Linked DNA regions of Caenorhabditis elegans. The protein of the gene in region 1 purifies or fractionates together with the protein of each later gene. This does not show direct contact. Each region holds a gene or a part of one and is shown on either strand. Other genes may lie near its edges.

Evidence for each region. The genes of interacting proteins can lie anywhere in the genome.
Region 2: the proteins of D1086.9 (region 1) and mks-3 fractionate together in Caenorhabditis elegans (co-fractionation; one large-scale study listed by BioGRID). This does not show direct contact.

Annotation. Positions count from the first base shown.
Region 1 is NC_003283.11:14,102,685-14,106,876, reverse strand, and holds D1086.9 (Filaggrin-like), read right to left. Parts: upstream 2,608-4,192; coding exon 547-2,607; downstream 1-546.
Region 2 is NC_003280.10:7,579,625-7,585,252, forward strand, and holds mks-3 (Meckelin), read right to left. Parts: upstream 4,032-5,628; 5' UTR 3,934-4,031; coding exon 3,884-3,933; intron 3,804-3,883; coding exon 3,682-3,803; intron 3,619-3,681; coding exon 3,416-3,618; intron 3,363-3,415; coding exon 3,228-3,362; intron 3,181-3,227; coding exon 2,966-3,180; intron 2,905-2,965; coding exon 2,496-2,904; intron 2,449-2,495; coding exon 1,945-2,448; intron 1,896-1,944; coding exon 1,679-1,895; intron 1,638-1,678; coding exon 1,463-1,637; intron 1,409-1,462; coding exon 1,297-1,408; intron 1,247-1,296; coding exon 924-1,246; intron 875-923; coding exon 646-874; 3' UTR 621-645; downstream 1-620. Other genes in the region: F35D2.6 (Cation-independent mannose-6-phosphate receptor), read left to right, coding at 1-90, 156-356, 403-620.

The DNA.
Region 1 (4,192 bases):
GTTCGGCTTTGTCTCCAATAAAATTCGATCAACCAGTAATTGAATAATTATGAGGTGCGAAAATATATTTTCGCAGCTCATAATCTTTATAAAAGAGGGAAGGCTATCAGAAACTGCTATGATATGCGAGGAGAAGAGGTCCCATGGAATTATTCATTTTTGCGATCGAATCTTGATTCTGAAGATAATAAAACTCTACGAACTTGATAATGAATTTTTTTTCGGAAGCAAAGCTTTTTTTCAATTGAACGACAATTGTTGTAATGAAATCAACATTTTCTATTGTTGTCGAGTCTCACAGAATTAAGACAGGGCTAGCAAATCATTTGTAAGATACCCTATCAAATCACCTTTCAAAGTTCTGAAAATTTTAAGAATCTTATTACAGAGATCGCGAAGAATGAAAATTTATTATACTTTACAGATGTTTTAATATACAAATTCACATGAAAATGAATAGATTAATATACATATTACAATTTTTCGAAACGAGAGTTTTCGTCGAAGTGGAATTCACTCGAGCGGAGCTTGTCCATATGCAATATCTTACATCTGTGGGTGGAACATTGGGTCGATCTCAGCATGTTGAGATCCTTTTTCCCCGGCAGCTCGCTTCACAGGCTTTGGTTCAACATCAGCTTGTCCAGTCCCCTTCTGGCCGGCAGATCGGGATCCACGGTGTTGTTCTTGATCAGCTTGTTGAGTTCCTTTTTGGCCGGCAGCTCTGGATTCGCGGTGATGGTCTCCTCCGAATTGCTGGGTTCCTTTTTGGCCGGCATCTCTAGCTGGACGTTTCACCTCGGTATGAACTGATCCATGTTGAGAAATGTCTGCGGCACCTCTTGCTGGTCGTTTGATATCGGCATCAGCATCAAGGGATCCTTTGTGGGAATTGTCGGCAGCTCTTGCTGGACGCTTTGATTCTTGATCAAGTTGTTGAGTTCCCTTCTGTCCGGCAGCTCGGGATCCACGGTGTTGCTCTTGATCAGCTTGTTGAGTTCCCTTCTGTCCGGCAGCTCGGGATCCACGGTGTTGCTCTTGATCAGCTTGTTGAGTTCCCTTCTCTCCGGCAGCTCGGGATCCACGGTGTCGCTCTTGATCAAGTTGTTGAGTTCCCTTCTCTCCGGCAGCTCGAGATCCACGGTGTTGCTCTTGATCAGCTTGTTGAGTTCCTTTTTGGCCGGCAGCTCTGGCTGGTCGTTTCATATCAGCATCAGCGTCAAGGGATCCTTTGTGGGAATTGTCGGCAGCTCTTGCTGGACGCTTTGATTCTTGATCAAGTTGTTGAGTTCCCTTCTGTCCGGCAGCTCGGGATCCACGGTGTTGCTCTTGATCAGCTTGTTGAGTTCCCTTCTGTCCGGCAGCTCGGGATCCACGGTGTCGCTCTTGATCAAGTTGTTGAGTTCCCTTCTGTCCGGCAGCTCGGGATCCACGGTGTTGCTCTTGATCAGCTTGTTGAGTTCCCTTCTCTCCGGCAGCTCGGGATCCACGGTGTTGCTCTTGATCAGCTTGTTGAGTTCCCTTCTGTCCGGCAGCTCGGGATCCACGGTGTTGCTCTTGATCAGCTTGTTGAGTTCCCTTCTCTCCGGCAGCTCGGGATCCACGGTGTTGCTCTTGATCAGCTTGTTGAGTTCCTTTTTGGCCGGCAGCTCTGGCTGGTCGTTTCATATCAGCATCAGCGTCAAGGGATCCTTTGTGGGAATTGTCGGCAGCTCTTGCTGGACGCTTTGATTCTTGATCAAGTTGTTGAGTTCCCTTCTGTCCGGCAGATCGGGATCCACGGTGTTGCTCTTGATCAGCTTGTTGAGTTCCCTTCTGTCCGGCAGCTCGGGATCCACGGTGTTGCTCTTGATCAGCTTGTTGAGTTCTTTTTTGGCCGGCAGCTCTGGCTGGTCGTTTCATATCAGCATCAGCGTCAAAGGATCCTTTGTGTGAGTTGTCAGCGGCTCTAGCTGGACGTTGCGATTCTTGATCAGCTTGTTGAGTTCCTTTCTCTCCGGCAGCTCTTGTATTACGTCCGTCAAAGTGTTGAGTTCCCTTCTGTCCGGCAGATCGGGATCCACGGTGTTGCTCTTGATCAGCTTGTTGAGTTCCTTTTTGGCCGGCAGCTCTGGCTGGTCGTTTCATATCAGCATCAGCGTCAAGGGATCCTTTGTGTGAGTTGTCAGCGGCTCTGGCTGGACGTTGCGATTCTTGATCAGCTTGTTGAGTTCCTTTCTCTCCGGCAGCTCTTGTATTACGTCCGTCAAAGTGTTGAGTTCCCTTCTCTCCAGCAGCTCGGGATCCGCGATGTTGCTCTTGATCAGCTTGTTGAGTTTCTTTCTGCCCGGCAGCTCTTGCTGGGCGCTTAATATCAGTATCAGCATCAAGGGATCCTTTGTGTGAGTTGTCAGCGGCTCTTTCTGGACGTTTTGGGTTTTCACCGTCTGGCTGACTCAATTGCGATGGTTTATCTCCAGCAGCTCGAGATCCTCGGTGTTGATCAGCTCCAGAAATGTGTCCTTTGTCGGCTTCTACATCTCTACGAAGACGTTGACCAACAGATTTGGCATGAGAGAAGACAGCCAAGACGGCAAGGAAAAAGAAGGAATAAACCAACAACTTCATTGTTGGACTGAAGATTCCAGTAGTTTCAGACGATCTTATATACCGAAATCTTTCACTCCTTTCATTAGGGCGGTAACATCTTATTATTTCAGAAGTCGGGATTTTCGTGTTTTTCTGTTGTTATTCTAATAAAATTTACATCAACAAGAAAAGAGGGTAACGATCAAGGTTGGAATTATGGATTACAGTGATCAATATTCTCCGTGTACTCTTGACGCCCGTTTTGTTTTGTTTTCATCAAAAAATGGGAAACTCGCCAAGTTCTCCGTCTTCCCCAGGCGTCTCTGCAGAATCGTTTCGGATGATGTAAATGCTTTGTGCGGTCCATCACATTGTTTACTGTCAAGAACTAGTTGATCGCCGGATCTGATAAAGGTTTTTTGACCGCTTACTCTCTACGCTCTCTTGTTTATTAGTTATATCTAAAAATCTCATATGGAAACAACAATTCATCGAATTCAAACCTGCACATATGTTGTGAAGGTTGGGTACAGGTTTCTATTGTATGCCCGATAGTATAGTCTATCAGACATTTGTTTACTTGAAAATGAAATGGATCGGTGTGTCTTTCGTGTTCAGTGATCACAACAAAACAATATAGAGATAACGAATCAGAATGAAATGTGGTTGTTGGCAGTTCAGGTTTATTCACAATGTGAGTAGAACGCTGAGAATTTCAAATAACACTACATATACTTAGTGGAGCTTATATATACTTGCGAATTTTCCGAACGCCTGCCATAATTATATCCGGCATCGTGTTTTTCACAAATGTTTCAATCTATTATAACTGTAAAACTAGAAACTTTACTAGCTATTTGTATGAAAAAGTTTTTAAACATTTATACATTTGGGACAATAAGAAAGAAATTGCCTGAAAAGTAATTATAATAAAAATTGAATGTTTCACTCAAGAATAAAACCAAAAATTTGCATATAAACTGATATGTATTCTAAAACTTTCTTAGAAAATTGATGATTATTATGTTTTCCAGTTCAAGCTTTAAAAAAAATTTTCAGCAGCTTCATGGTTTTGTACTAACAATCAAACAAATCTTCTGCAGTTGTTTGTGACACATTCTGAGTACTTTTTGTTTTGTTTTCGTTATAATTTATAAATGAAAACTGGTAATTTTCAGTAGTTTCAAGAAAATACGAATGAGAACAAGTTTTTTTGCATTCTCTGCATTGCCCACATATTTGAAAACAAGATTAAAACCTATCAATTTTCAAAGACAGTAAACAGTTCAAAAATTACTCTAGATCATTTCGATGAAAATGATATTTACTATAAATTAGTGCTACACACTGATTAATCTGAAATTTCTATTTGGAGACAATTCCATCAGAGAGATTAGACGGAGTAGGTAGCATCGTGCTTCCAAAAATGTAATTCTAAAAAAGTAAAGTTTAAAAAGATGAAAGTTTCTTGATTTCTTGTTCATTGAACTCATCTGAATTAATTTTTATTTATATTCGAACACATTCAAATACTGTGAAAATTTGCATTATATACAATCAAATTTTCTTTTTTTGTTGATATTCTGGCTCTACCAGCTACATGTAATTTTGGAGTTGTACTTGT
Region 2 (5,628 bases), on another chromosome or scaffold:
ATTATTGTTACGACGTTGTATTTGATTGCACCGATTCTTCAAAAATGGATATTTTGGCATACCACTGCAGTGATGGAGTTATTTTTGATTGTAAGTTACCTCAATTGATCTTTTTTTCGAAATCCCAAGATAATTTATACATAAATGTAATTTAGCTCGTTCATATACTTGTCTTGCTTCTTGGAAACATGATGACCGTCTTTTGATATATTCAAATCGTGGTAGTGATGAGAAAGAATGCTTTGTTACACATTTTCATGAAGGCAAATTATTTATGGCTGCTACAGGAGATCAGTGCGAACGAAACATTGATTTTGCCAAAAACCAAGATTTAATTATGGTTTTGGAGGAGAAACGTAAGAGTTATTTTGATTTTTTTTGATTTTCCATTCAGAACTTCAGAAACTTGCCGAAATCACACATTCAAGTCAAGAAAGCCAACAACTCCCATAAAGCTTCACGCATCTCCTATACTTGAATTAAACACAACTTCTACTCCAGAAGAACAAACTACAACAATAGACATATCAGTTTTATCAGATGAATTCTGGTTTTCTTCAGCATTCAGAACAAATCAAGTAACATCGCTAATAATTATTTTCTTATTTTTAATTCAATAGACAATCGTAAAAAAATGAATTAATATTAAACAAGAAATCGTTGATCTACTAAACTCGTCTTAATCAAATGATTCGTTGACAAGTAACCGAAAATCAAACGGATCAAGTGAGAAATAACATACACAACAAAACCAGCAAGATATAAAGATCCAGACCATAAATAGAAGACTGTAACTGTTAAACATTCAAATGAAGTCCAAGCCCACTCATTTCCATAGACAAAACATCGGGAGTATGCAATCTCCACAGGATCCCTTAAATTAATTATTGGTTTGAATAATAATTTGAGTTATATGTATCTACCTTGTGAATGTGCCTGTAATTGATGAATCACTCATTTCCATATCTAAAACTGATTCCAAGACTGGTCGATCCCGAACAACATATTCGATATCTGTTATTGAATGATCTACAAATTTCTTTAAAAATGAGTTCATTTGGGAATGAGCATCGACTGTTGCATTCATTTTTGCCGTGATCGCTTCATGTCCAACTACACCAGATGTAGTTTGTTTGGAGACCGCAAAAATTTCGTCATATTTCGAACGAAACAAATTCGGTAGATTTACCGTGAAAGTCTGAAGCTCTGATCCTGGTTCAAGTCCTCGGAATCCGCATAAATTATTCTGAAAATATATGACCTCAGTTTTCGTAAAACAAATCACCGCCAACTAACCCGCTCGCGTTGTAAGAATTCATTCATCTCACTCATTCCAGCATCACCCTTTCCATGAACAGAACGACCATGAATATAGTATCCATACAGAGAATGGGTCAGAGAAAGGACACTGAAATTGATTTAAGCCGTGAAGAATTTTTTTTTGTAGGTTTAAGCATTTTACCTTATGTTTGACAAAGAGCAAAGATCAACAAAATTATGAAATGGGTCGGTCACGATTCGTTCAACGATCAAAACTCGGACAAGAACTTGCAGCAATGCCAATGAGAGATAGACAAAAATTGTAACCGCTAATGAGCTGGCAAGAGTGCTCAGAGTTGTTGAAGAGTCGAAGGCATCTAGAAATAAGCTTATTTCAAGTATTCAGTGCTCACCATACCTCTCTCAAACTCTGGTTCAACCAAAGCATAGTTCTTGACTTGAAAGTATTCCATTAGAAGAATCATTGTGATCACTTGAAGTGCCAAAGACGTTTTTCTATATTGCTGAAGTTCATTCCATTCATTCGCAATCAAATATGTTCTCCAAACTACAACTGGTTCAGCTTCTGTTGATTTGTGAAGATCTCTTGATAATGGCATTCCGTGTTCATCAGTCTGAAAAATCCAAATTCATCGAGGTTCCTCATGTATTGGCCAAACATGCCTGTCTAAGTTTTTGCCTTTCCCAGTCAATGAAGAAAGTTTCTTGAAACACAAGAGCACCCATTGTGAACAGCAGTCCAAAAAATTTTAAAACGAGGGAAGCGATGAAATAATGAAATAAGAATTTTTCCTGATCATAACTGAGCATATTGTACAAAACATAAGTCTGACTTTTGTACGCAAATGTTGTCCAACAAGCAATAAATCCGAATAAAACGAAAAATACATCTCCAAGAATCGAAACTTCACAAACAAAAAAGTAGAGAATAGAAGAAGCATCAACTGCAGAAGGTTTTCCTTGTCTTCTTCCCCAACTATATGAGCACAGAGCTGACCAGAACAATGACATTGGAATGATTATTGAAAGAGCTATTATCAACTTTTGATCATATCCAGATGAATCTTTATGATATATTATTTCCAAACTATTCTCAAATATTTCATCTGTTGAATCATCATATTCAATTGTTAAATACGGTGGATTTATGTATCCATCTCTTTCTTTCTAAAATTTGATATTCGTTTAAAAAAAAAGGGAAGATTTAAAATAACCTGTAGAACTACATTAATTCCAATTTTTGCCGCAAATCTCATAAGTTTTGATGAATTGTCAAACTTCATCGAATAGTCATCAAACAAATAGAATCTTCGAGTGAGCACCCAACGATTCCGATCTTTATTTGCAAAGTTTAAAAGTTGTCCATTGACTCGTACTGCACTATTGAGAATGTGTACAGGATAGAGCTTAGAATGTCCCTGTTCATCGGAAAACTTCAAGTACACTTCAAATAATTTTCTCTCAAGACGTGGATCTGTGAATGTTGCCTTTCTTATTTTGCATTCTTTTTGATAACGTCTTCCGAATAAAAATGGAGCAAATGGGTTCAGAGAGTCATCACAAAAATGAAGAAATATGTCTTCCGAAGTGAAAAATCCATCAAATGTTCCATTTACATCATACCTAAAATCCGTCAAATCTTTGGAAAATTTAATTCATGAATTTAGGCTCAAGTGAAACAAACCTTGCAAAGAAAAGTTCGAAGGAAGAATCTGGACGAAACAAATATTGATGGTCAATTACATTTTCATTTTCCAATTCAGAATCATCAGTGGTTGCAAGTGCATCCAATGTATTTTGCCATGGATTGAATAATCTTTTAATATTTTCCAAAAGTCCACACGCATTCAGTGAAGACCCTGATTCAAAATTTTGCAGTACACACATGTTGACCATTGCCTGAATATAAAACTATTTTCTATATTTACTAATTTTCAAAATGAAACCTCGCAACTTTGAATATTCCTTTCCGAACACAATTTTGCATCCGTAGACAAGTGATTTTCAATGTAGATAGATTTCATTTCGACCCCGTTTTGCAGTTTGATTCGTGTATAAACTTGATCGGAATTAGTAGAATTCTGAAAAAGATTAGTATTCCAAAAAGAAAACACTAAAATGTGAATGAACAAACCATTTCGGAACACGACGTTTCACATTTCGTGCAATATCCGTTGTCATTTCTGTAAAAGCCAGAAGCACAGTTTCCACAGAATGCATCATTTGTTAAAAGATTTCCAGAAGCGTCTCGAAAAATGAGAGTGCTTTGTGAAGGGCAATGGCATGTTCCATTATTACAGTTTAAGCATCCAGTTTGGTCCGGCGAGGATAGTGTTCCTGTAAAAGTTAGAGTTAAATATTTAAATAAATATTCAAAATTCAACTTTTCATGAAACATACCTTCTGGGCATTCTTCACAAGTTGGAACAAAACCATTTCTAAAAATTTCAATTTGGTTTTTTGAGCACTTACAAGACATCATGTCATCTGATGGAATAGTTGTATTCGGGCAAATTTCGCATCTGTAAACTTGGTCATTTTATTAAAGTAATACGTAGTTCAATAAAAATGTAAACGGCATAATTTCCATTAACAAACAAACCTTAATTCAATCCTGTTAAAATATTGAAGCCTCGTACAATTTTCAGGCATAGTGAATGCAATGTTTCGTGAACGAAACTGAGCATTTGAAAATGCTGATATTGAAATTAAAGTAAATATATTTTTTAAATTCATCTAGTAACTGAAAAAGCAAGGGTTTGGTCAATTTGTGCAGCAGGAATGAGAAACGAACCACGTTGTCATGGTGATGTTGTGCGGCAGGAGACCCAAAGGGAGGAGAGAGCATACAAATGGTGTCACAAGGAGACGGAGGATATTCCATTTTTAATTTCTGAACGAATAAATAAGTTGGACATTTAAATAATTCTAATTTAAATAAACTTTTAGCCAATGGTGAAAAAGGAATTAGAAAACTACCCAAACTCGCGAAATTGCGTAATTTCAAACCGGCGTATCTTGAAAAATACACTTCTACGAAACAAATGTTCAACTAACAAAATGATCAGAAATATTTTTTCTTTCTATTGCATTGCATTTTTTTTCCAAAATACAAGTTGATTGTTGGGTTATGCCTAGTCAAAGACAATTCACCAAAATCTATCAACATTTTTGAGAACTGTTCTGCTGTACCAGTTATAACCCAACATCCATTGAGTTTCAAAAAGGAAATGATTTTTAATAATAATTATGAAATATTTTTCTACATTTAATCAATTTCAAGTTTTTTGATATTTTCATGTTTACCCAAGTTACAGACCGTTTTTCGAAAAAATCCAATTTCGCTCATAAAACTCTTCATATCCAACCTATCGACTTGAAATTTTGAAAAATGATATTTTTTTTGAGGTCTCTACAATGTCCTAAAAAATCTTTCAAAAAATCCTGCTAATCTCGAAAATCGTCCTCCGCTCCAAAAAATGAAATCGGACTTTTGCTTTTCGAGAAATGGGCAAAAAAATCAAATTGCGATTTTTGGGTCGAAAAATATATTTTTAGAAAGCTGAGAACACGCTATTTACGAATTTCATGTTCATTTTAAGTGATTTCTTCTCTGAAATGACCTAAAAATTAAACAAAAGAACATATTTTTAATTCTCACGTGTAATTTTTTTAATGTATTTGCTTTAAAACAATTGAAACACTGAGCAAATTACCAAATAATTACACGTGAGAATTAAAAATATGTTCTTTTTGTTTAATTTTTAGGTCGTTTAAGAGAAGAAATTATTCAAAATGAACATTAAGTTCGTAAATAGCGTGTTCTCAGCTTTCTAAAAATACTTTTTTCGACCCAAAAATCGCAATTTGATTTTTTTGCACAAAAGCAAAAGTCCGATTTCATTTTTTGGAGCGAAGGACGATTTTCGAGATTAGCAGGATTTTTTGAAAGATTTTTTAGGACATTGTAGAGACCTCAAAAAAATGATTATTTTTCAAAATTTCAAGTCGATAGGTTGGATATGAAGAGCTTTATGAGCGAAATCGGATTTTTTCGAAAAACGGTCTGTAACTTGGGTAAACATGAAAATATCAAAAAACTTGAAATTGATAAAATGTAGCAAAATATTACACAATTATTATTCAACATCATTTTCTTTTTGAAACTCAATAGATGTTGAGTTATAACTGGTACAGCAAAACAGTTCTCAAAAATTTTGATAGATTTTGGTGAATCGTCTTTGACTCGGCATAACCCAACAATTAACTTGTATTTTGCAAAAAAAATGTAATGCAATGGAAAGAAAAATATTTCTGATCATTTTGTTAGTTTAACATTTGTTTTCT